Canis lupus familiaris: one gene and its partners. The protein of the gene in region 3 interacts with the protein of the main gene of each other region in a pairwise test. Links are inferred from orthologs where the notes say so. Each region holds a gene or a part of one and is shown on either strand. Other genes may lie near its edges. The genes, in order: NRBP1, ZMYND10 and TSC22D4.

What was found.
Region 1: the proteins of TSC22D4 (region 3) and NRBP1 interact in binary tests that used the Homo sapiens proteins (3 or more experiments, as listed by UniProt). The link is inferred for Canis lupus familiaris from reciprocal best matches to the Homo sapiens genes TSC22D4 and NRBP1.
Region 2: the proteins of TSC22D4 (region 3) and ZMYND10 interact in binary tests that used the Homo sapiens proteins (3 or more experiments, as listed by UniProt). The two-hybrid records come from large-scale screens. The link is inferred for Canis lupus familiaris from reciprocal best matches to the Homo sapiens genes TSC22D4 and ZMYND10.

The regions. Positions count from the first base shown.
Region 1 is NC_049238.1:21,438,636-21,445,929, forward strand, and holds the start of NRBP1 (nuclear receptor-binding protein), read left to right. Parts: upstream 1-3,494; 5' UTR 3,495-3,727; coding exon 3,728-3,899; exon of another isoform or gene 3,900-4,001; intron 4,002-4,362; exon of another isoform or gene 4,363-4,498; intron 4,499-4,524; exon of another isoform or gene 4,525-4,550; coding exon of another isoform or gene 4,551-4,701; exon of another isoform or gene 4,702-4,759; intron 4,760-6,862; coding exon 6,863-7,092; intron 7,093-7,257; coding exon 7,258-7,294. UniProt on the Homo sapiens protein: Required for embryonic development. Plays a role in intestinal epithelial cell fate and proliferation, thereby involved in the architectural development of the intestine potentially via the regulation of Wnt-responsive genes.
Region 2 is NC_049241.1:39,414,412-39,421,610, reverse strand, and holds the start of ZMYND10 (zinc finger MYND domain-containing protein 10), read right to left. Parts: upstream 3,888-7,199; 5' UTR 3,745-3,887; coding exon 3,653-3,744; intron 3,391-3,652; coding exon 3,282-3,390; intron 2,356-3,281; coding exon 2,239-2,355; intron 2,119-2,238; coding exon 2,065-2,118; intron 1,945-2,064; coding exon 1,810-1,944; intron 1,704-1,809; coding exon 1,615-1,703; intron 1,523-1,614; coding exon 1,422-1,522; intron 1,095-1,421; coding exon 922-1,094; intron 701-921; coding exon 575-700; intron 493-574; coding exon 371-492; intron 251-370; coding exon 125-250; intron 37-124; coding exon 1-36. Other genes in the region: GATOR complex protein NPRL2, read right to left, coding at 4,966-5,033, 5,119-5,261, 5,543-5,660, 5,743-5,836, 5,955-5,991, 6,112-6,209, 6,296-6,432, 6,918-7,026 and 1 more. UniProt on the Homo sapiens protein: Plays a role in axonemal structure organization and motility. Involved in axonemal pre-assembly of inner and outer dynein arms (IDA and ODA, respectively) for proper axoneme building for cilia motility.
Region 3 is NC_049227.1:9,139,647-9,146,962, forward strand, and holds the start of TSC22D4 (TSC22 domain family protein 4), read left to right. Parts: upstream 1-3,174; 5' UTR 3,175-3,535; intron 3,536-3,976; 5' UTR 3,977-4,255; coding exon 4,256-5,017; intron 5,018-7,306; coding exon 7,307-7,316.

The DNA of each region.
Region 1 (7,294 bases), on a different chromosome or scaffold from region 3:
AAAGTTAGAAGCAAATAAGATGTCCTTTAGTAGGTGAATGGATAAAATTAACTGGTACATCTAGACCATCGCATATTATTCAGTGCTAAAAAGAAATGAGCTATCAAGCCATGAAAACACATGAAGGACCCTTAAATGCATATCATTAAGTGAAAGAAGCCAACCTGAAAAGGTTGCATACTATAGGATTCCAAGTATATGACCTCCGGAAAAGGCAAAACTATGGAGATTAATATTAGTCGTTGCTAGGGTTGTGAAGGCAGAGTACAAAGGATTTTTAGAGCAGTAACAATGCTTTGTATAATGATAGATATATATCATTAGATGTTTTTCCAAACCTATAGAATGTACAATACCAAGAGTGAACCATAAGGTACACTATGGATTTTGGGTGATTAGGATAGGTCAATGTAAGTTTGTCCTCAATAAAATGTATATCTTTCTGGTGAGTGATGTTGATACTTTTTTTTTTTTGAAAAGCCAGCATAAAGCACTTTTATTGCAATAATAAAACTTGAAACTCATACGTAGTGTGGGCAGGTTGGGGTGGGGGTGGTAGGCAGCAATAATTTCTCTCACCAAATCACTACACAGGACAGCAAAGGGGTGAGAGGGGGAGGAGGAAAAGCCAGGAAACTCTGAGATCAGCTGGGGGAGCCTAACATCAAAAACCAGGAGATGCTGAAGCTGTGATGACCAGCATCATTTTCTCAAGACAACACTCAAGGGTTTGTCATGATGGCTGGGCTTTCATTGGGTGTTATGTGTCTACAAACAGCACCTTCAATTACACTTCACATGGGGTGAAGTAATAAATGGGAAATCTCTGAACCTTCTCAATTTTGATGTAAACCTAAAATTGCTTTCTTAAAAGAAAGGTTTATTAGAGAGAGAGAGAGCATATGTGGGTGCATGGTGAGGGCAGAAGGGAGAAGGAAAGAGAATCTCAAGCACATACTGTGCTCAGCAAGGATCCTGATACGGAGCTCAATCCCACGACCCTGAGATCATGTCCTGAGTTGAAATCAAGAGTTGGATGCTTTTTATTTTCTTTTTAATTTTTTATGATAGTCACAGAGAGAGAGAGAGAGAGAGGCAGAGACACAGGCAGAGGGAGAAGCAAGCTCCATGCAGGGAGCCCGACGTGGGACTCGATCCCCGGCCTCCAGGATGGCGCCCGGGGCCAAAGGCAGGCGCTAAACCGCTGTACCACCCAGGGATCCCAAGAGTTGGATGCTTAACTGATTAAGCCACTCAAGTGCCTCTAAACCCTAACATACTTTTTTTTTTTTTTTAAGTTTTATTTACTCTTGAGAGAACAGAGAGAAGCAGAAACATAGGCAGAGGGAGAAGCAGACTCCCTGAGGGGAGCCCGATGTGGGACTTGGTCCAGGGGCCCCCAGACCATGCCCTGAGTCCAAGGCAGATGCTCAACCACTGAGCCGGCCAGGTGTCCCCTTTACATACTCTTGATATTGTTATTTGATATCTTTTTTTTTTAATTTTTATTTATTTATGATAGTCACAGAGAGAGAGAGAGGCAGAGACACAGGCAGAGGGAGAAGCAGGCTCCATGCACCGGGAGCCTGATGTGGGATTCGATCCCGGGTCTCCAGGATCGCGCCCTGGGCCAAAGGCAGGCGCAAAACCACTGTGCCACCCAGGGATCCCTGATATCTTTTTGAAGAGTAACTTGGCAATATCCATTCAAGTTAAAATGTTCTTAGCTCCTGACTTAGCAATTCTACTTATATAACCATATAAAAATAATTTTCACAAGCAGGCAAAGATATGTGCAAGACTTTACTTCAGCTTTACTTATAATAATAAATGTTGGAAATAACCCTGATGCCCCCTGGTAGTTAGTAAGTAAACGCTGGACAATGGAATACTTCACAGTGGCTAAAAGATTAAAATAGTGCTATATGAGGGGATCCGTGGGTGGCTCAGTGGTTTAGCGCCTGCCCTCAGCCCAGGGCGTGATCCTGGAGTCCCGCATCGGGCTTCCTGCTTCCTGCATGGCACCTGCTTCTCCCTCTGCCTGTGTCTCTCATGAATAAATAAAATCTTAAAAAAAAAAGAAAAACAAGGAGTAATTTGAAAAAGATTATGTATTATCAGCTTGCTTTCATTTTAAATTATATGCACATATATTAATACATGCACAGAAAAATGGATACATACATCAAAATCTTAATTCTTCTGTTGAAATAGGATTACAAGAGATTTTCACATTCTATAGCAATTGTTAATTCACAATATTCCATAGGATTCCTGTAAGGATTAAATGAGTTAATATGTCATAAGGCAATTGAAACAGTGGACCATAGCACATAGAAGATATTACATAAATATTTTTGAAATATTGTTTACAATAAATTTTATTAAAGCAGAATAAAATGAGGTGGCGAAAATGCAGTGTTTGAGCTGTTTAAACATGAAAAGTTAGAAATAAAATGAGAGCTGGAGGACGCCAATGGGTCCTCTATGCATATTTGAAAGAAGGAGTTAGTTAAAAAGGAAAGGTTAATAATGATAAGGTCCAAACAGAAGAGAATGGGAAACTATAATAATATTAACTGATATTTAATGAATGTTTATAGGGGAGCAGGTGCCCCAATTGCCTTGGAGCCCACAAGGAGAAAGGGTTAACCTGGAGAAAGGGAGAAACAACCTTCCTTTGAAGATTAGAACAAAAAGATTTTTAACTTCAGTCTTTTGAAATTATATGCTAAATTTAGGGGACAAATTCATTTCCTAAATATCCAAAACAAGATCCATAACTTTCATCAGATTTCTAAAAGAATGTGTGAGCCCTCTGAAACGTAAAAGAATCAAGGATGAAAGATTGGTTGCAAAAGTATTTTGAGATGAAGAGATAAGAAAACGAGAGGGCTTTTGCCATATATTCTTCTTTACATTAGTTAAGAGGATTAAGAGATACCCTTTAAGGACAGTGAAATTTAGTGATTATCGCATTGCCAAGTTCTGAAAACCGATTCATCCTCCTCCCTTCAAAATACACGTCTAATGGCAGAGCGAATTTCTACCGCTCAGGCTCAGCGTTTAGTTTTCGCAGACCAATGGGCTCACCCCGGATCTTTCCCTTTCACTTCCTTGAAGTCAATCCAAATTCTTTCCAAACATCTTTTCAAGGAAGCCTTTGATAAATCTTACTGTTTGGATGCTAGATTTGGCTCCTATCAACTTTTGGTGAATAGCCTTAATGCCTCTGATTTCGTTTTTTGCATGTGTCAGTTAGCCTTTCAATTTCTTATACGGATCAAACGAGTCATCTGTGAAAACCTCCTGCAAAGTTTTGGCAAAGGTCGGTGCTATGCAATTTTCAGGATACGTTCAGGAAAAATTTTAAGCTGAAGAACTGGTGTCCTGCGCAGTCTCGCCCCTTACAAATAATGAAAGTGGGTGGGCGCTCCTCCCGGTGTGAGGCTACGTCTTTCGCTCCTTTTGTCTTTTAGTCGGAACAGAACTGTCATGGCGCCTTCAAGAGGAGACGGAAGGCCTTCCTTTCGCCCGGCGGACTCATCGGGGGCACCTGGACTGGACGGAGGGGTGGACAGTGAGACCAACCCCAGCCGAGACCCAACACACCGATGCCTCCGAGAGGTCTCAACCGGACAGGCTCAAGGGGAGGAGACCGGCTTGGAGACTATGGCAGCGAGCGGCCGTCTTCCCGGGGCACCGCCCACCTTGGCCGCCCCATCCAATGGCAACCCAACGGCAGTGCGGCACCGCCCATCTGTTGGTCGGGACGCCGCGAGGGCGGGGCCCGCAGTTCGGTTGCGCTGCGGAGCGCAGCTGTGAGGGAGTCTCTCTGGTCCGCGGCCCCGAACCCGAGCTGGAGCTGAAGCGCAGGCTGCGGGGAGCGGAGTCGGGAGGTGAGCGCCGAGGGGAGGGAGCGGGAGGGACGGGTTCGGCGACCGGACAGAAGGGTCGGCTTCCGCGGCCCGACGCGCCGGGACCCCGGCAGGCGGGTGTCTGGAGGCTGCTCTGCTCGCTCGGCGGCCCGAGGCCCGGCCCGCCGGAGCCCAGGGGCCGCCCCGGCCCCACAGTCTCGGCCGGGCCCTCCCGGCCTGCCCTGAGTGGCGGCCACCCGGAATTCTGCCGGCGCGGGGCGCGGGGCGCGAGGCCCTGGCGTTCGTGTCGAACTGGGGCTGACGAGAGGCGGGGCCGGCCGCGGGGGCGGGGGCGGCGGTGGCGGGCCCCGCGGCCTGCGGAAGCGCAGCGTCGGGGCCGCGCCTGCTGGCGGAGGCCGGCGCGCCGACAGCGCGGGGGCGTGGCCTGCGCCCCTGACGGCGCCGCGGGGCTGGCCTTTGATGAGGTGGCGGCGGCTGGCTCCCGGGCCTGCGGGACCCGCGGCGCTCGCAAGCAGACGGCGGGCAGGGGACCTGTTGGAGCGTGAGGCCGTTCCCTGCGCTTGCTTTGACGTCTGACCACACAACCCTGTGGGTCCCGGAGGCCCTGTGGTCGGCTCGGGGTGAGGGCAGCCCAGAGGCCTGTGGCCTGCGAGCTGTTGCTGAGGAGTTGAAATGCAGAGGGGCTGCAGTCCAGTAAATGAAAGTCTCCGAGAAAAACTTTGCGCGACGATCTACCTACACTGCTCAGAAGTGAACACAGTATTCTCGGGGTGGCTGGAAGCGGCGAGGAGATTCCCTTGTAGGGGCGTGAATGGCCTTTTCCGTATGTGATCTCTTAAACCTCTGAACGACCCTGAGAAGAAAACCCCAGCGTTGCAAAGGTTTCTTCATCGGGAGGGGAAGTGCTAGGGCATCTTGGGCAGTGCCTTGGTTTTGCCTGCTGGGGAAAGATTGGGGAGGGAGAAAACAAGGACACGGCTGTGACTGGTAAAGGTTTGGCTTCTTTTGTGGTGCTTTACTGTGGATTGTCTGTGACCTGGGTCAAGAGGTTTCCTTAGAATCCATTGGCTACAGGCTTCCTGTATTGGAGCTCCAGTGGTATTTCCTATTGTCATCTAGCTGGAATTTTTACTGAGCTGTTCAGATTCAAGATGCATTCTATAAATATAGCTGCTCTAGAAAGTAATCCCTATGAACTTTCTTACCATTTTCTTAGTTGCTTTTCAGGGGGGAAGAAAAAGGAAAGTGATCTCTAACTGGTGTTCTGGTACATTACTAAGACAGCTTTCTTGTCTGGTTGAATAAAGTCTATGATAGGCAGGACCTAGATAATAACAGGCAAAGAATATCTTGCCAGATTTTCTCTGTAGTGCTTTATGGTTATCTGGTATTTACTAGAATGTCATCTTAATAAGAATCTGATTTGGGTTAAACATAGTGTAAATTGGGGGTGGAGATTGGCAGAAGGGAGTATCCAGGAGTTCTAAAATAAGAGCTTTTTGAAAGATTGTTGTTGATCAGAGGCTTCTGTATTCTGAATTTAGAGGAGGAAGTCTACTTTCCAGAATGTCACTTTCATATGGAGCACTCCTTTGAGCCCAGCACACACAGGTTTCAGCTCCGTCATAGCCTTTGTTCTTAGAGAGATGGAATAACATTCAGTGGTTGTCCTGCAACTGTCTGGATAAGTTAGCGACATTTAGCTTGTGAGAATTCTTTTTCTTCCAAATAGCCATGTGCCTTAAAAAAATATTGTACTATATAGTATTTTTTCTTGTAACTGCTGTATTTTGAGTTATTTGTTCTTTTTAAAAATTTTTTTGTTTTAAAGATTTTACTCATTTATTTGAGAGAGAGTGAGCTTGAGCAGGGGAAGTGGGAGCCAGACTCGGGGCTCAATCCCAAGATCATGTCCTGAGCTGAAGGAAGATGCTTAACAGACTGAGCCAACCCGGCACTCCTTGAGTTATTTGTTTATGAGGGAATATCTCTGTCAGATCTGGTATCCCCGAGGGTGGAGCCTTTGAGCTGTTTGGATGAAATGAAAGCTGGAAGCTGAAAGTTCTAGATTTGTTTAAATTTGTGGTTCCATAAATGTGGGCATCTCATTTATTTTATTCACTATTTTATCTCTGGTACCTAGCCCAGTGCTTGGCCTACAGTAAGTGCTTAATAAATATTTGTTGAATGAGTGAATGAAAAAAAAATGTTGCTAACCAATACCCATTTGCACACTCACATCACAGGGGAGGTGAGGGCATCAGGGATGAAGTCACTAACCACTGCCAGTTACCTGGCCCAAGGGTATCCTCAGCATGGACTAGTAGACTTGATCTATGTGTAGGAGGGATGGATAGCAAATGCCAGAATTCTAGTGGAATAAATTAGCTTGAGGGTTTCATCTGGATAAATTGGCTGAGAGTGCTACAGGTCCAGACTTAGGGCTGAATCAGTGAAAGATTTTGGGGTCTAGAGTCATCTGAATAGGGCCATGTAGCTTAGTTCTTGAACACATAAAGGCAGGTGAAGTTTTAAAGGAAGATTGTTGGGTGAGTATTGCTGAGAAGGAATGGTGTCTGTCCCTGATTTGGCTGTTCATTTGAACCTGAAAAATGGGAGTTATATTGTCATAAATCTTAGGTTTGCCACTCCTCATGGGTCATCTTCAACCACGATAGCTTCACTTCTCTAGACTAAGAAGTAGTTAATGTTTCAATGTTCAGACAGAATTAATTTGATTTTGGACTTAAAGGAAACAAGGGAGACCGATGTTTTGTTTTGTTTTTTAACCCCAGATGAGGTTATTAGGATTAAGCATGGAGCCCAACATGGGGCTTGAACTCATGACCCTGAGATCAAGACCTGAGCTGAGATCAAGAGTTGGATGCTTAACTGAGCCACCCAAGTGCCCCAGGATTAAATCTTTATAGATCTATCCTGACCCTTTCTGCCTTCTTCCTTCATCCTTGCCCCAACCAATACAGGCCTGAGTGTTCGTTCCAGCATGTCGGAGGGGGAGTCCCAGACAGTAGTCAGCAGTGGCTCAGACCCAAAGGTAGAATCCTCATCCTCAGCTCCTGGCCTGACATCAGTGTCACCTCCTGTGACCTCCACCACCTCAGCTGCTTCCCCAGAGGAAGAAGAAGAAAGTGAAGATGAGTCTGAGATCTTGGAAGAGTCACCATGTGGACGCTGGCAGAAGAGGCGGGAGGAGGTAAAGTGATGGTAGTGTCACTCTGGGGGGAGTGGAAAGGGAAAGTCTCAAAGGGTCACACCAAACTTTAACAGATCAGAGCCTAGGAGAGGATGATCATTTGGAGTATTAAAATGGTTTATACGATAACTTTAGTAATTCCTTTCCATTTGGATTTCTTCTCAGGTGAATCAACGGAATGTACCAGGTATTGACAGTGCAT
Region 2 (7,199 bases), on a different chromosome or scaffold from region 3:
TTTCCATGCTTCTTCCAATGCTTGACTTGGCACTCCCTGCAGGCAGGTGGGCTGGTAAGCATGCAGTGCTTGTGCGGGGTATAGAAGTGGGGCTTAGGGGTCCAAGTTCCTAGGATACCCTCACCTGCAGCAATACCATTCATTCTGGCACCGTGAGCACCGTTTGGAGGCATCTGCACTGCAGTAGGCACAGCGGGGCCGCTCTGGGGTTACTGCCTCTAGGACGTCCAGGCTGTAGGTCTCAGCCCATCTAAGAAAGAGGTCAGGAAAGGCTGGCTGTGCCTGGCCAGTGGGGGCACAAGAGCACCTCTGCCTGTGTCCATGCCTTCTGCATCCCTCCTATCCCTTCTGCCCACTCAGTGGGCCTCACCTTCGTGCCTGTAGTCGCAGGTCCTGCTCTGAAGGGCTGAATATGTGCCTCAGCTGGTGCTTGGCAATAGCCTGCCACTTGCCTCTGTTCTCTCTTTCTAGCCGCTCCCAGATTTCTGGGATCTGAGAGAGAAAAGTGGAAAGTGTCAGGGAGGAGCTGGCAAGGTGGGCAGTAGTCCTGAGCAGCTGACTTCCTGGTACCTACCTGTTCCAACACCAAGTCCTTCTTTGGGGGCTGGGTTTCCGTCAGGGCCAGGTGGGCCAGGAAACCCTGCAGGTCTGCCAGGTTGGGCAGCTGGTCGAGCAGTGTGTCTGTGAGGAAGGCCCGAAGCTGCAAGGGAGTCCAGGGAAGGCCAGTGTGAAGTGGTGCTGACCAGGGAGGGCCTGGGCTGGGGTGCCTGTGGGGACCACGTCCCACTAGCTGCTGCGACACCTGAGCTTCAGGGTCTGGAAAGAGGACTGGGGCTGAGGCAGGTGGGCAGTGATAAGCAGCAGGGGTGGGGCAGGGCAGGGTGGGATGGGGTGGCACTGGTGCAGGAGGAGCTCCCCCACCTTGAGTAGCTGTCCCTTGGCAAAGCTGGTGACGCAGTAGCGGGTCCGGGCTTCGGGGCTTAGCAGCAGGTTGTATAGGGCGATCCACACCTGCCCATCCAACTTGCTCAATTTTGGGTGCTCTGTGGGGGCCACTGTCTGCCAACGGCCACCCTCAAATTGCTGCATCTTGCCTGGAGAGAGGAGCCAGAACACTAGGAGCAGGTGTTACACACTCTGAGTCAGCCAACTGAATGGGCTGGGGTCCTGAGTGCTGCCCGGGTGCACGACTCACCAAGGCTGGTGTCTGCTTGCTCCAGAGCGGGGTGAGTCTTTAGCAGTGGACACACAGGCCTTACCTGCTGCAAAGCCCAGGTCTAAGCTAGTTTGTGTGAGGCATTCTGGGCTCCTCTATGAGCTAGCGGGCAGTTTGTGAGCAAGCTGCCTGTCCCCATCAATCCTGGGGTATGTCTGGGAAGCCATGAGCTGGGGCTTAGGCAAGGGGGTGGGGAAGACCTTACCACCTTCCTGTCGGCTCCAGGGACTGTGTTCCAGCAGTTCCACCAGGAGGCAGGGCAAGTTGTGGGTACTGAGCATGCAGTTCAAGGTGCTCAAGGAAAGGCTAGGGGTGGTGGTGGAGAGAAGTGAGCGGCGGCTACAGGCCCAGGATCCCAGTCCTCCACTGCAGGTCTTGGGCCTTGCAGGACTGCCCACCTGTCCACACAGTCTGTGATGTAGCGCAGCACTGAGAGGGCCTTCAATGCGATCTCAAACTCCATCAGCTCTGCTTGCTTCTGCAGCTCCTGGGTGGCAGGGGCACATGGTGCTCTAGCTGGGCCACCCCCTGCCTGCTCAGGCCTTGAGAGAGCGTGTTATACCCACTGGCACCTCCAGGGACCCTCAGCCTACCTGAATGGGGGTGCTCTCCTGAGACTCCTCCTCGGGAGGGCTGCCACGGCCACTTCGGGCCACCAACATAGTCAGTTTTCGGTGGCAGTAGTCTACCAGGTCCAAGACAGCGTCCTCTGCTGACTCACACACCTCCTGAGGGACAGGCAGAGGGGAACATTCTGTCTCTGATGCTCTCCCCACACAGACACAACCCCTCTTCCCAGTCAGGCCTTAGCCTGTGGCAACAGCTTGTGGACAGGGCTGATGCCTCACTTTATGGAAGAACACTGTCTCCAGAAGGTTGATGATAGAGGCCTCGTGGTGTACCTGTCAGATAAAGAGAACAGAGCGTGGAGCCACTGAAGGAAGAATCAGATTACCAGCTCTCTTGTCAAATCCAGAGCCCTCTAAAGGCATGAGCAGGGTGTGACCAGGGGCCCAGCTTACCACCATGTATATGGGAAAAGTGTTCTGGGGCTTGAAGTCCTCCAGCTTGCACAGCACAGGGAACACCTTCTGCTTCCACATCTCCACTGCAATCAGCTCCTCCACCAGTGTTGGGATCTTTGAGGGGGAGAGGAAAGGACAGAGATGAAGTAGGCCTACCTTGGCCTTGCCACCCTCCCATCCCTGGCTTGGTCCTGCCTGACTCCTCAAACTCCCCTAGGCTCCTAGATTCTCTCCATAGGTACCTTCCCAAGCTCTCTCCTGCACCTTAGACCTTCATTTCTAGCTGCTCTCAATAACTTTGTGGGGACATTCCCCATGCTTCCTATAACTGGCTCTTGCTTTGTCCCTGGGCTGCCTTGGCCCCCTACACCTCCCCACCCCAACTACACCCTTGTCCCCTCTGTCCTCATCCAGGTGTTCCTCTCAGGCTGGCTCTCCTGTTCATGCCCTCCTTGTCCCTGTCCTCCTGCCTTCCAAGGTTCTCATGTGCCTTGACCTCACCCTTACTCAGGGCCCTGCACAATTTCCTAGTCCTCTCCCACCCTCCAGTAGGGGGCTCCACCTTTTCTTTGCAGAGGAACCCTTTTGTCAAGTGATATCTCAGGTCATTTATTTGAGTCACCTCCTGGCTCATTTTCCAGGTAGGCTCATCCCTGGTTTCTAATTCTTCTCTCAAGTTATGAAGGCTGCCTTCTTCCATGCCAAAGTTCCACCTCCACTTCAGTGAGGGCCCCCTCTGGCCTGACAGTCTATTCAAGGATGTCTTTAGAACGTAGGCTCTCCCCCTACAGCCTGGGCTGCTGTATGATCTACGACTATCTCTCAAATCAACCAACGTCTCACACTTGGCCTAGTGTGCCAGTGTCCTGTCCAAAAGGGATGCAAAATCAAATCTGTAACACACTCCTCTCTTTTCTCTTGGGGAAGACAAGAGTACCATCTAGAGGGAAGTGAAGGCATCCGAGGTGCTCCTGAGAGGTAGAGTGGTGGGGTGAGAGGTGGTAGGAAGGGCAGGAACCCTGCCCGTGACCCCAGCATACCTTCCCATGGGTGACCAGCAGCTCCTGGATGGGCTCACCCTGGCTGGCTGTAGCATCAAGGATAGCCTGCATGTTCAGCTTCTCCAGGTTCTCATGCTGCTGGTTCCACCTGCCCCAGAGAGAGGGGGTGGATGTGTTTTGGGGTGCTACTGAAGCCTAACCTGGGTTTGGGTACTATTGAATTTGGGTATTACTGAACCTAATCAGCCTAACCTGATCCTGAGGGGCCAGAGGGGGCTCAGAGATCTTTGTCTCCTCACTTGGGGATTCCTCCACACTGGGTACCCTCTCCCCCGTGTCAGGCCCATACTCCTCCATTCAAGGACTCTGACTCTGTGACACCGCCCGACCCTTGGATCCAGCTGCCTCACCCTCCGGAGCCCATCTCGCGCAGCGGGAAGCTGCGCAGCCCCCGCACCAGCACGTCAGCCTCCCCCGGCAGCAGCAGCTCCAGGTCGCCCATGTTGTGGCCAGGGCCAGGGAGCCAGAAGGCGGGATTCAGTTGACCCCGGACAGCAGCCGGCGCTGGGGCAGGGGAGCCGAAAGTCTCCGGCTGGGTCCAGGCTGTGGACGCAGCTGTTGCGGAGCGGTTGGGGCGCGTGGGTCCTCGCCGTCATGGAAACGGTTAGCTCGGCGCCTGCGCAGTGCGGCCCGCGCAGGCTCCGGCCCCGCCCCCGGCCCCGGCCGCCTCGCCTTCCCCGCGGCGGGTAAGGAAGCCCCTTGGATCCCAAACTTCTCCCTCACCTCCGACTGCGGCTCGAGGGTCTGCCCTGAGCGACAGACTCCTGTGGCCTAAGCTCCCTCCTCCGACGTCAAGACCAGCTCAGGGACAGGGTCATGCTGCCCCCACCAGCTCTTCCTGTCGCGGCTCCAACTCCGCCGCGCGGATGCCCCTCTCCGTGGCTTTCTCGCTCCACTACGTCTGGCGCCGGGCTCCGCCTGCTGGCTCTACCCCCCCAGGTACTGCGTAGGGGCCACGTCTTTCCATCCCAGTCTAACAGGCTGCCACCACCTCTCGTGAGGAACTAACTGCTGTAATCTTTTTCTGGGTGACTGTATGGCTGCCTCCAGTTCTTGAAATAGTATGTCCAAACCAGCTTACCAGCATCTCTGCAGTATCACTTTTGCCCCTTCGGTACTTCATTTCTTGCCCCTCTCCCCATTGCCTCTTATGTTCCAGCCTTGTGGGCCTCTCTGGAGTTCCTCATACATCCTAAAGCTGTTTTTGCTTTGGGGCTTTTGCACCTGTTACCCCAACCTGGAATACTCTTCCTCCATCAAGCCTCAGTTCAAGTCACCTCAGGGAGGCCTTCCTTGCTTATTTAATCCAGAACAGCTTCAGCTCCCACCCCACCCCATTCTTGATCACAGCTACCTGATTGTTCCTTTCTGGCTGTTTATTTCAGTTCCTAATTAGTGGACACATTTGTCCATAGTTAGTCCTGCCACCAGATGGCGCAGCAGTGGGCCAGGACCACCGCTATTTCACTGCCAGTTCTCAGGTGGCTGGTTCAGAGGCGATACTCAATAAAGGTAGGTTGAAACAGATGCTTTTATTTACAGAACTGAGGGTCACCCCTGAGACAATACGGACTAGTCTACGGGTCTAGCCCTCATGCACCAGACAGCGCTTTGCAGGACGAAAGCAGCCACAGTCGTGTGCCTAGTTTAGCCCCCACCAGCCTCACTTCCAGCAGATGATGATATTGGGGTCATTTTCCAGCCGTTCATCAAGCTCGTGGTAGCTCATGCCTGTTTGGGACAGTGCAGGTGAGATGAGCAGTCTTGCCTTGGCCACCTGCCCTGACCCCACCCCAGCTGCAATGTCTGCCTCCACCTGTCTTGCAACAGATCTCATCATAGCTGTGGCAGCCTGTGTAAAGCCGGGCAGGGTGGCTCCGCTCCTCCCGAGACACCCGCACGGGATACTTCTGTAGTCGGCGGATGAGGTTCTTCATAAGCCCAAACTGGATCAGCTTTCTGGGGTGGGGTTGAGGGAGAGAAGAGTGATGCCCTGGCTGGGCCTTCCTCCAGCCAAGCCAACCCTTTTCTGCAGTCTCCCCTCAGATTTTGTCTCAATGACCAGACTGCCTTCCAAACCCAAAGCCTGGGGTTTTGGAAAGCCTGCCTAGACTAGTAGTGCCACATGATTCTGCTCACTGGGAATCTCCTGCTTCCTCTCTAACCCAAGGCTCCAGAGACATACAGAGTGTATATGCTTTTAGGTAAACCCCTCATGACCCTGGGAATCCCCTTCTGACCGTTCATCAACACGCTGCAGCTGCTGGGGGTGGCGGCCAATGAGGTCTCTCACAGTAGTGCCAGGGCTCAAGCTGCAATACAGCTGGAACACATCCCGAAGGCTGGCCCTCTTGTGCCCTATGGGTACCAGGGGTCAGCTCTGTAGGTGGCTCTGCCCGCCCCCCGCCCCGCCATGGCCTCCCCCAGAGCCCACTACTACCTTGTTTGGTCACATAGGATAAACATGCCTCTTGCAGGGACTTGTCATCTACCAGGTCCTGGACCTTCGGTGTTGGGCAGTACACATTGGAATACTGGAGGGTAGCAGGAGGCACAGGGGCCTGAGTGAGGGGCTTGGAAATCTGACATAGCCCTAGTCTGGCCAAGCCACATGATTCATTCTCCCCTTAACCAAAGCCTAGACTCACCTACCTGGAGGATGGACACCAGTGTCACAACTCCATAATACCTGGGGGAGATAGTGTGCTCAGCTTCTGAGGGTCATGCCTTCCCACCCCACACACTCAGTGTCCTGGGGCTCTTCCCTGGCTAGCAGCTCTGTCCTGAGTGTGGCTGTTGCCCTACTCACAACAAGTTCTGGATGGCGATGCGCACCAGGTTTAGCTCCACATCTGCCTCAGCTGAGATCTTCTGGACATGGCGGAAACCATCAATGTAGGGCAGGATCTGGGCAGGGCAGGATCAGTAGAGGTGGGATGAGGCCAGAGCTGTGGCCACCCCTAGGTGATGATACCCAGGGAGGGACAGCTCACCTGTTGTGTGGTGAGGTCCCATTGTGAGTTGAAGAAATCTTCCTTGTCCTTGGTAAAGACAGGCACATCATACTCCTGCGCCACAGGAGGGTCAGGCCGCTGCTCAATCACCTTCAAGTGGATGGTGTTGGATTCATCTGTAGGGGCCCCACCCATATCTTCAGTGTCATCTCTTTCAAGAGGCCCTCAATTACCCTTCAGTCCTCCCAGCAACCCTTGAAGCAGATGGGTGGCCCTGGGTAGGGCCGATCTCCCCCACCCCCCACTTCTTAAGTAAGCTCTGCGTCCAACGTGGGGCTTGAACTCACAACCTCAAGATCAAGACTCACATGCTCTACTGACTGAGCCAGCCAGACACCCCCAATCTTCCTTTTTTATGGAGCAAAAGACAGGTCCAGAGAGGAACAGGAACATGCCAAAGGAGCATAGACAGCTCTCTGCTGGCCTCTATATCCCAAATCCCAACATGCACTGGACTCTGGACATCATCAACCCAGCTCATGGCTATTTATTAGCCATCAATTTGTTCATGAATCTTGTCCATGGCTGGGCTTGCCTTCCCTTGCCATGTTCCTATCCCTCTTCTACCCTTCTGTTCTCCTTGGTAAAGGCTGGGTCATACCGATTGGCAGAGTGCACCGGCCTGAGGCATTTAGCTCCTCCAGCAAGATGGTCATGATGGGCACCAATTTCTGCTTGCTCTCCTCTGTTGACACGAAGCTGCTCTCTAGCTGGATGGAGCATGGACAAGATGGTGGGTATACCCTGGGACCCCTGGCTGGCATCCTGCCCTGGCAGATACCTAGGTCTGTAGGGCTTTGGAAACATTTGTCTGCCTGCCCATCCACTCAAGCCCATTCTGTTGCAGACCTCCAGTGTGGTCAGGTAGCCAGCCAGCTTTTTG
Region 3 (7,316 bases):
CCGGCCCCCCCATGCCGGGCTCCGCCCGGAGCAGGAGGAGGGAGGAGGAGAGACAGAGAGAGACCGGGGGGAGCCGAGCTGGGCCCTGCCGCAGAGACAGCCCCGCCTCCGGGTCCGCCCCCAGACCCGCCCCCGGCCCCAAACCCACCCTTCCACACCCTCCAAGGACGGAATGGGAGCGGCCGCGCCGCGCTGCGCCGCCAGGCTGGGGTGGGAGGCGCGGGGGACGCAGAGCCCGCGGAGCTCGCGGGGGGACTCGGAGAAAGGTCGCGGGGCGCGGGGGACCTGGCGCCGGCCCGCCCCCGCTTTGAGGCGTCCGCTCCTCGTCGCCCCTCGGCCTCTATCCGGCCGGGCCGTGTTCGGTTCGGTGTCCGAGGCCCCGGCGGAGCGAAGCAGGGCGCAGCGCGTAGCGGCGCCCCCCGGTGGCAGCCCGGGACCTGCACCCCCGTGCGTACCCCGTGCGCGCCCCGCGCTTCCCGGGTGCGCACCCCGCGTCGGGCCGGGGCGAGGCTGCGGCTGCGGGGCCCGGGGTGCAGTGAGGCGACGAGGCCGGCAGGGGGTGCCGCTTTCCGGGCCGAGGGGCTCGGAGAGTCGTGAGCCCGACCATCCGCGTTTCTGCCCAGCAGGGGGCGTGCTCCCTTGGCTGCGCCCCTCTTCCTGCCGCCCTGCAGGTGCTGGGAGGGCATTGCAGCTGGCTCTCCTGCTGCCGGTCGCCTGTGCCTGGAGCTTCCCGGGCGCCCGGACCTCTTTCCACCGCCTGGGCTCAAAGGCTCCCGCCAGTCCGCCCGAGCGGCTCAAGTCATCCTCCCAGTAACCTCTGACCCCATGGCGCCTCCCGCCAGGTCCTGGGTGCCCCCGGCGGTCGGCCTCGGACCGGCCACAGCGGCAACCGCCCCGGTGCGGTCGAGGCGGCCGCTCAGGGTCGCGACCTCGCGCCCCCTCCTCAACGCCGCATCACCTTTCTCTTTAGCCCTGAGAAATCCTCCCTCGGAAATCCCTTTGCCACACATTAGCTGCAAGAAGACCTGGGTTCTACGCTTAAGTAGCTGAAAAATGGACCCCCAAAAGATAGCCACCTCTAATCCCCGGAACCTGTGCCCGTTACTTTATATGGCAAATCGTTGCAGGTGTGCTGTGTGGCTTTGGGCAAATCACACCACCTCTCTGAGAGATGCCTCGTATCTACCTCCATAACGTTGTTGAGGGCGCAAAAGAATTAATACGGGGAGCTTTGTAAGCCGTAAAATACATTAAAGGGCGATTATTGCTCCCAGGAGATGGAACACAAAATACAAAACAGTCCTTTCACATTTGCACCTTAGTGTGAATGAATTTTTATTTATTCATTCAATAAACATTTCTACAGAGACCAGCAATGTCCCAGGCAGGCAGACACGGAGGAGTCCAACTTGATGCTCAGAGTTGGTGGGAAGGGGAGGGTCCAAAGATAAATTTTGAATAGTTTGTAGCGTGTCAGCGCCGAAAGGAGGATCTGGGGGCGGAGCAGCCTGGCGGTGTTCTGAATATTGCCAGAGGGGAACGAGTTGGGGGTGGTGGTGGGGGACTTGTGTGGGAGGCTGCCTCCTCGACCTCAGGACTTGGGAGGCCTTAGGACCCAGCTGTGTTACTGTGAAGGGAGAGAGGCAAGGAGTGCAGATGCATTTTAACAAAGAAATGCAGAATAAATATATAAACATCCAGGCAGGAGGCATCATTTTGTTTTTCCCTAACCCTGAAGAATGGTTAAAAATTTCCATGAGCGAAAGCTGAAGAGGGAGGGATGTGTCAGCCCAGTCCTAGTCTCAATGCCATCAAATACTAGCTCTGGGGCCTCGGGCAAATAACTGACTACCTGGGAGCCTCTGTTTCCTCCCGCGGAAACGCTGAAGCTCAAAACCTACCCCATCTCTGCCCCCGACTGTTTATAGTCCATGAAATAACTATATAAAGCAGGCAAATATGAGAAATTTTCAATATGCTCAAGAATACTTCCATCTGACCAAAATTAATTAGAATCCAATTCCTTCCAAAGCTAGGAGTGAAGGCAGATGTGGCTTTTCAACCCTGCTCTTGCTCAGATTGTTGGTTGAGGGTGCCATAAAAGAGAAAGTGGCCATCAGAGGGTTATTTTTTCATTCCAGGCATTGGGTAATTCGGTAAGGCCTTCGTGTGTGTGTGTGTGTGTGTGTGTGTGTGTGGCTTCTCCAATAGCAAAGAAGGGATGGGATGGGAGAGGTGGGCGGGTAGGGCTTGTCCTCAGGTGCATCTGTGTGTACATTATGTATACATGTGTGTGTGACCAGGGTTGGAGAGAAAGTGCAAGTCAGCACATTTCTGAGTACATCTCTTTGTTTCTTTATATAGGGGCCAGACAAGGGCACACCTGAGTGTGTAGAATGTTCCAGCTGTACCACTGACAGCCTCTCGGAACCTTCCGGGTCTCAATATCCACATCTAAGAAGAGGGATAATATGGTGCCTGGGATTTTTAAAAATACTCCAGCACAGCACAACAAGAGGTATTGGGAGTATAGAAGAACCCAGGTTGGTTGTGAGCTGATCATTGTTGAAACTGCACGATGGGGACTTGGGAGTTTATCATTTTTCTCTACTTGGGGGCCCATTTGCAAATTGTCATCATAATCCACGTTTTAAAATAAAGACAGGAAAGAATAACGGAACCTTCCTCATAGAGTTACTGTGAACACCAGTGAAGATATGGCAAGAGCTGAGCAGCAGCTTATGGGGTGGCGGGCACCCAGCAGAGCCCCTGGTTGGCAAGTTCTTGCTCTCTCCGTAGGCCAATGGCAGCAAGTGCCTACAAGTAAGGGAATCCCTGGCCCCCCGGCAAACTCCTCCCCTTTTCTCTCTGCCCTCCACGGCCCCTCCCTCCGAGGAAACGCAGGATTGGGGCCCAGCAGGTGTGGGGTTAAGCCTGTTGCGGGGGGGGCGGGGGGGGGGGGCAGGAACAGCAGCAGCAGTGGCAGCAGAGGTGGTGGCAGGCCTGGCCCCGGGCCAGCTGGCCGGGAGCCCCAGGAGGCAGAGAGGGCGGAGGAAGGGGAGGAAGAGGGGAAGGAGGAGGAGGAGAGGAGCAGTCAGCAGGCCCGAGGAGGCAGGACTTCCTGGTGTGGGGGTTGTCAACAGCCCAGAAAGAGAAAGGCAGAGAGACCGGAGAGAAGAGCCGAGGAGCGGAGAGAGACCCAGCGGTTCCACGCGGAGGAGATTTGAGAGACCTGCTCGCCCCAGCCACCTAGGCGGCTCCACCTGGAGGATCGGGGTGGGGGCAGAGCCGCCTCTTCCCTCACCAGTCCCGGGACCCTTGGGGCTTCGGAGGCCGCGCCTGGGCTCCACCAAGGAGGCGGGGGTCCCTTCTTTTCTGGCGAGCAAACTTTTTACGAAGATGCCTTGCGGGGCGAAGTGCGGCCCCCGAAGAGAAGCGGACAGCCCCTGATCGCCGCCGCGCCCCCCGCGGGAAGGACAGCCCGACATCGTAGGCTCCGGGACCCCCGGCCCAGCTCGGTGGCCGAGGCCGAGAGGTAGGGCTCTGGGCTGGCTGGGCGGGGCGCTGGGGCAGCGGGGCAGGGCCTGCCCGGGATCGGGGAGCTGGGGTGCGGGCAGCCTGGACACTCGGCAGAGGCCTCCCGGCGGCGGGGCCGACCGAGGAGCTGCTTCACCCCTGCTCGTCCAAGGCCCTGGAGCCCCCTCCTGCTGTCGGGCGACTCGGTCCTGTGAGTCTGAATCCCAGGCAAGAAATGCCCAACTTTGGTCTGGGCCGCCCCTTCCTACTCTGTGGGACCGCTGGGATCTCCTGGTCTCAATCGTCTCTGCCAGTCTCTTTGTCTCTGGGTCTCTGGTGGTTTCCCCTTCCTCCCCCATCCTGCTCCCCAGAGAGGAAGCCCCAGAGGTGGCCTGCCCACTGCTTTCTCACACACACACACACACACACACACTCTCTCTCTCTCTCTCTCTCTTTCCAGTTTGCAAACTCAGCTCTGGAGTTGGGCAGCGCCAGGGGCAGGAAAAACCTGCCCCTGCCCCTGCCCCCACCTCCTGCCACCTCCCCTGCCCTGTGCTCCCTTTACCAGCCAAGTACCCCCAGTTCCTGCAAAGCCCTCCTGCCATGTCGGACCCAGATGTCCCCAGGGGCCCTGATGCCCCCGCCATGTGGCCCCCCTGTTCCAGGGGTGCCTGAGCCCCTGGAGGAGCCCCAGCTGCACCCCCTGCCCACCTTGGCCGAGTCCTGAGCCCCAGGGACCATGAGTGGGGGCAAGAAGAAGAGTAGTTTTCAAATCACCAGCGTCACCACGGACTATGAGGGCCCAGGGAGCCCAGGGTCTTCAGAGCCCCCTGCCCTGCCGGGCCCCACCGCGCCCCCACCCCGTCTGCCTAACGGGGAGCCCAGCCCCGAGCCAGGGGGCAAAAGCACCCCCCGGAACGGCTCCCCACCACCTGGGGCCCCCGCCTCCCGTTTCCGGGTGGTAAAGCTGCCCCATGGCCTGGGAGAGCCTTATCGTCGAGGCCGTTGGACGTGTGTGGATGTTTACGAGAGAGACCTGGAGACCCCTGGCTTCAGCCGGCTCCTGGAAGGAGTTCGAGGGGCCTCGGGGGGCACTGGGGGCCGATCTTTGGATTCCAGGTTGGAGCTGGCCAGCTTGGGCCTGGGTGCCCCAACCCCGCAGCCAGGCCTGTCTCAGGGCCCCACCTCCTGGCTCCGGCCGCCCCCTACCTCCCCTGGACCTCAGGCCCGCTCCTTAACCCGGGGGCTGGGCCAGCTGGCAGTACCTGGTAAAGCCAAGGTGGAGACACCCCCTCTGTCAGCCTCCCCACCCCAGCAGCGTCCCCCAGAGCCCAGGACAGGGGATAGCGCCGGCCCCTCCCGGGCTGCCACGCCCCTGCCCTCCCTGAGGGTGGAAGTGGAGGCTGGGGGCTCAGCAACAGGGACCCCTCCACTATCCCGATCAAAGGATGGAGCCCTGCGGCTGAGGATGGAGTTGGTTGCTCCAGAGGAGATGGGGCAGGTAAGAGCTGGGTTCTGGGGTCAGGGAGACACCTGAGGGGTGGTGCTTGTTCATCTGGGCCTGGGCCTAACCTCCAGCTTGGGCCTCCCTGCCTCCACCTCCTTACCACCCTCTCCCCATTCCAACAACACGTGTCTGTCCCTCTTTTCTCTTCTTGCCCTCTTCCTGGGAAGTAGTCCATCCTCCTCTTCATGCAGCCTTGTTTTCTTTCTCAGGCTCCCTCTTCCCCTATATCCTGCACCTTCTTTCTTTCTCTAAGCCTTTGTTACCTTTGGCCTCCATCTCTGTTTCCTTATAGCTTAGTGCTGTCTCGCCATCACAGAGATGTCGGCTTCACACTTTGGCCCTCACCTTCTGTCTTGGTTTCACCCCTTCTGGCTTCAGGCATGGGGGATGGAGGTCCCAGATGGGGGTAGGTGCTTGGGCCTCTGGGAGAGGAGCTGTCCAGGTTGGTGGGGAGGGGTAAAAAGAAAGTCTCCCTGGCCGCACCACGCACCATTCCAAAGGTGACGGTCTGTCTTCTTATTAGCCACTCATCCCAGCCCCATCTGCAGCTTTGTCCCAAGTCAAATTTCTCCAAGGACGTGATGAACTAGGTGGGATGGAGGGCTTGGCGGTGTGTCCTTTCTGCCCTCAGGCCCCTGTCTCCGCTCCCCTGCATCTAGGCCTCTCCATGATTGATAACTGGGGGTGGCCACCAGGGAGTGGGAGAGAGGCAGGAAGCAGTGGAGAAAGAGTTAAATCCTCTGGTCTTTCTGCTTCCTGTCTCCAAAAGAGGAACAAGTCTGGGCTGGGGGGCAGGATGCCTGGGTCCCTGGGGTGAGGGTGGGCCGCCAGGGATGTGGGGGATGGATGTGTCTGTCCTGAAGGAGAAAATAACACCTTGGACTTCAGGAGCGAGGGCAGGGAGTGTGAGGATGAGAACTTTTCCCCCTTCCTGGCCTTGGGCACAAACCACAGTATAAAAATAACCTGGGACTGGATGTCTGGGCCCTGTCAGGACCGGTCAGGACCGGCTACCCCCACCCCCTCCTGGCCTCAAACTCACATATCTCATGCTGCGCCCCCTACTTTTCTGGAGCTTTCATTAAATTCCTACCCCAGGGGAGAAGATGCTCTTTCCTTTTCTAGTCCCTGTTCTCTTGCTCTTCCAGAGCAAGCCCCCTTTGCTCCAGTCTCTCTGTGTCCTTAAGCCCTGTCTGAGCTTCCCTTGGGCCTGCAGACCCTGCCCCTCTGTCCTCAGTGCCCTCAGAACCCTTTCCTTTCCCCCACATCCCGATCCCTCCCTGTGTGCATGCATCTGTGCTGCTTTTTCCTGGCCCCGAAGTCTGGCTCCGTTCCACACTCCCCCATGCCTCTTCCCTCTCAAGAGTGAGGCTGAGAGGAAGGCTGGGGGGACACCACCTGGGCCCCCTTCCTCTGCTCCGGCCCTCTAACCGCTCTGGACTCTCTGTTCTTGGCTTTTCCGAGAAGCAGGGGCCTCCTGGGGCCTCACAGAGGCGGCTTGTTCCTGTGGCCCCCGCCCTTTTGCAGCCACCCCCAGTGCCTGTTGGGCTGTGTGGGTCTGTGCCCGGGCTCCGCCTCCCCCCATCTCCGCAATCCAACCACCCTCCCTGCCCCAGGGCCCAGCGCAGGAGCAGAACTTCACCTGAATCTGAGAAGTTTGAGAGAAGAGGCTAGAATGGATAGAGTGGGGTGGGAGGAGGACCGGCTTCTGAGGATTCATTCATTCTACAAATAGCTATTGAACAAACTATAAGCTCTGCCCTCTGGAGCTTACCTTCTAACAGCAGGGAGGCAAAAATACTTTAATTTCAGATACTATTCAGTGCTCTAAAAATAAAATAGAACAGTTCAGTGGAATTCACTAGTCGAATGATGGGGAAATGCCTCTCTGAGGAAGTGATATTCAAGTGGCTTTTAAAAAGTCAGGTGACAGAAGGCAGACACTTTCTGCCTAGCCTCTGATTGGGGGTCCTGGTTCAGCTGGTAGAAGAGTGCTAGAGTACAGACCAGAGCCCCTTTCTGGTACTCTGATACACCACGAACCACTTTCTGGAAGCTGCTCACCCAGTCCTCAGGATGGACATTGTTTCCTTTACTCTGATACCTGCCTAGTTGCCTCCACTAGACCCAGGGAAGAAAGGGCCCTGGGGGCAGGACCCCTGGGTCCTCGAAGAGAGCAGAGATACATGGGGAGAGATGAGGAGGCTGACTACTAGGCAGGTTGCAAGGTGGCTGGTTCTTTTCTTGCACTGGATGTGATGGTTCCTACCTCTCTGCCTCCAGGTGCCCCCAC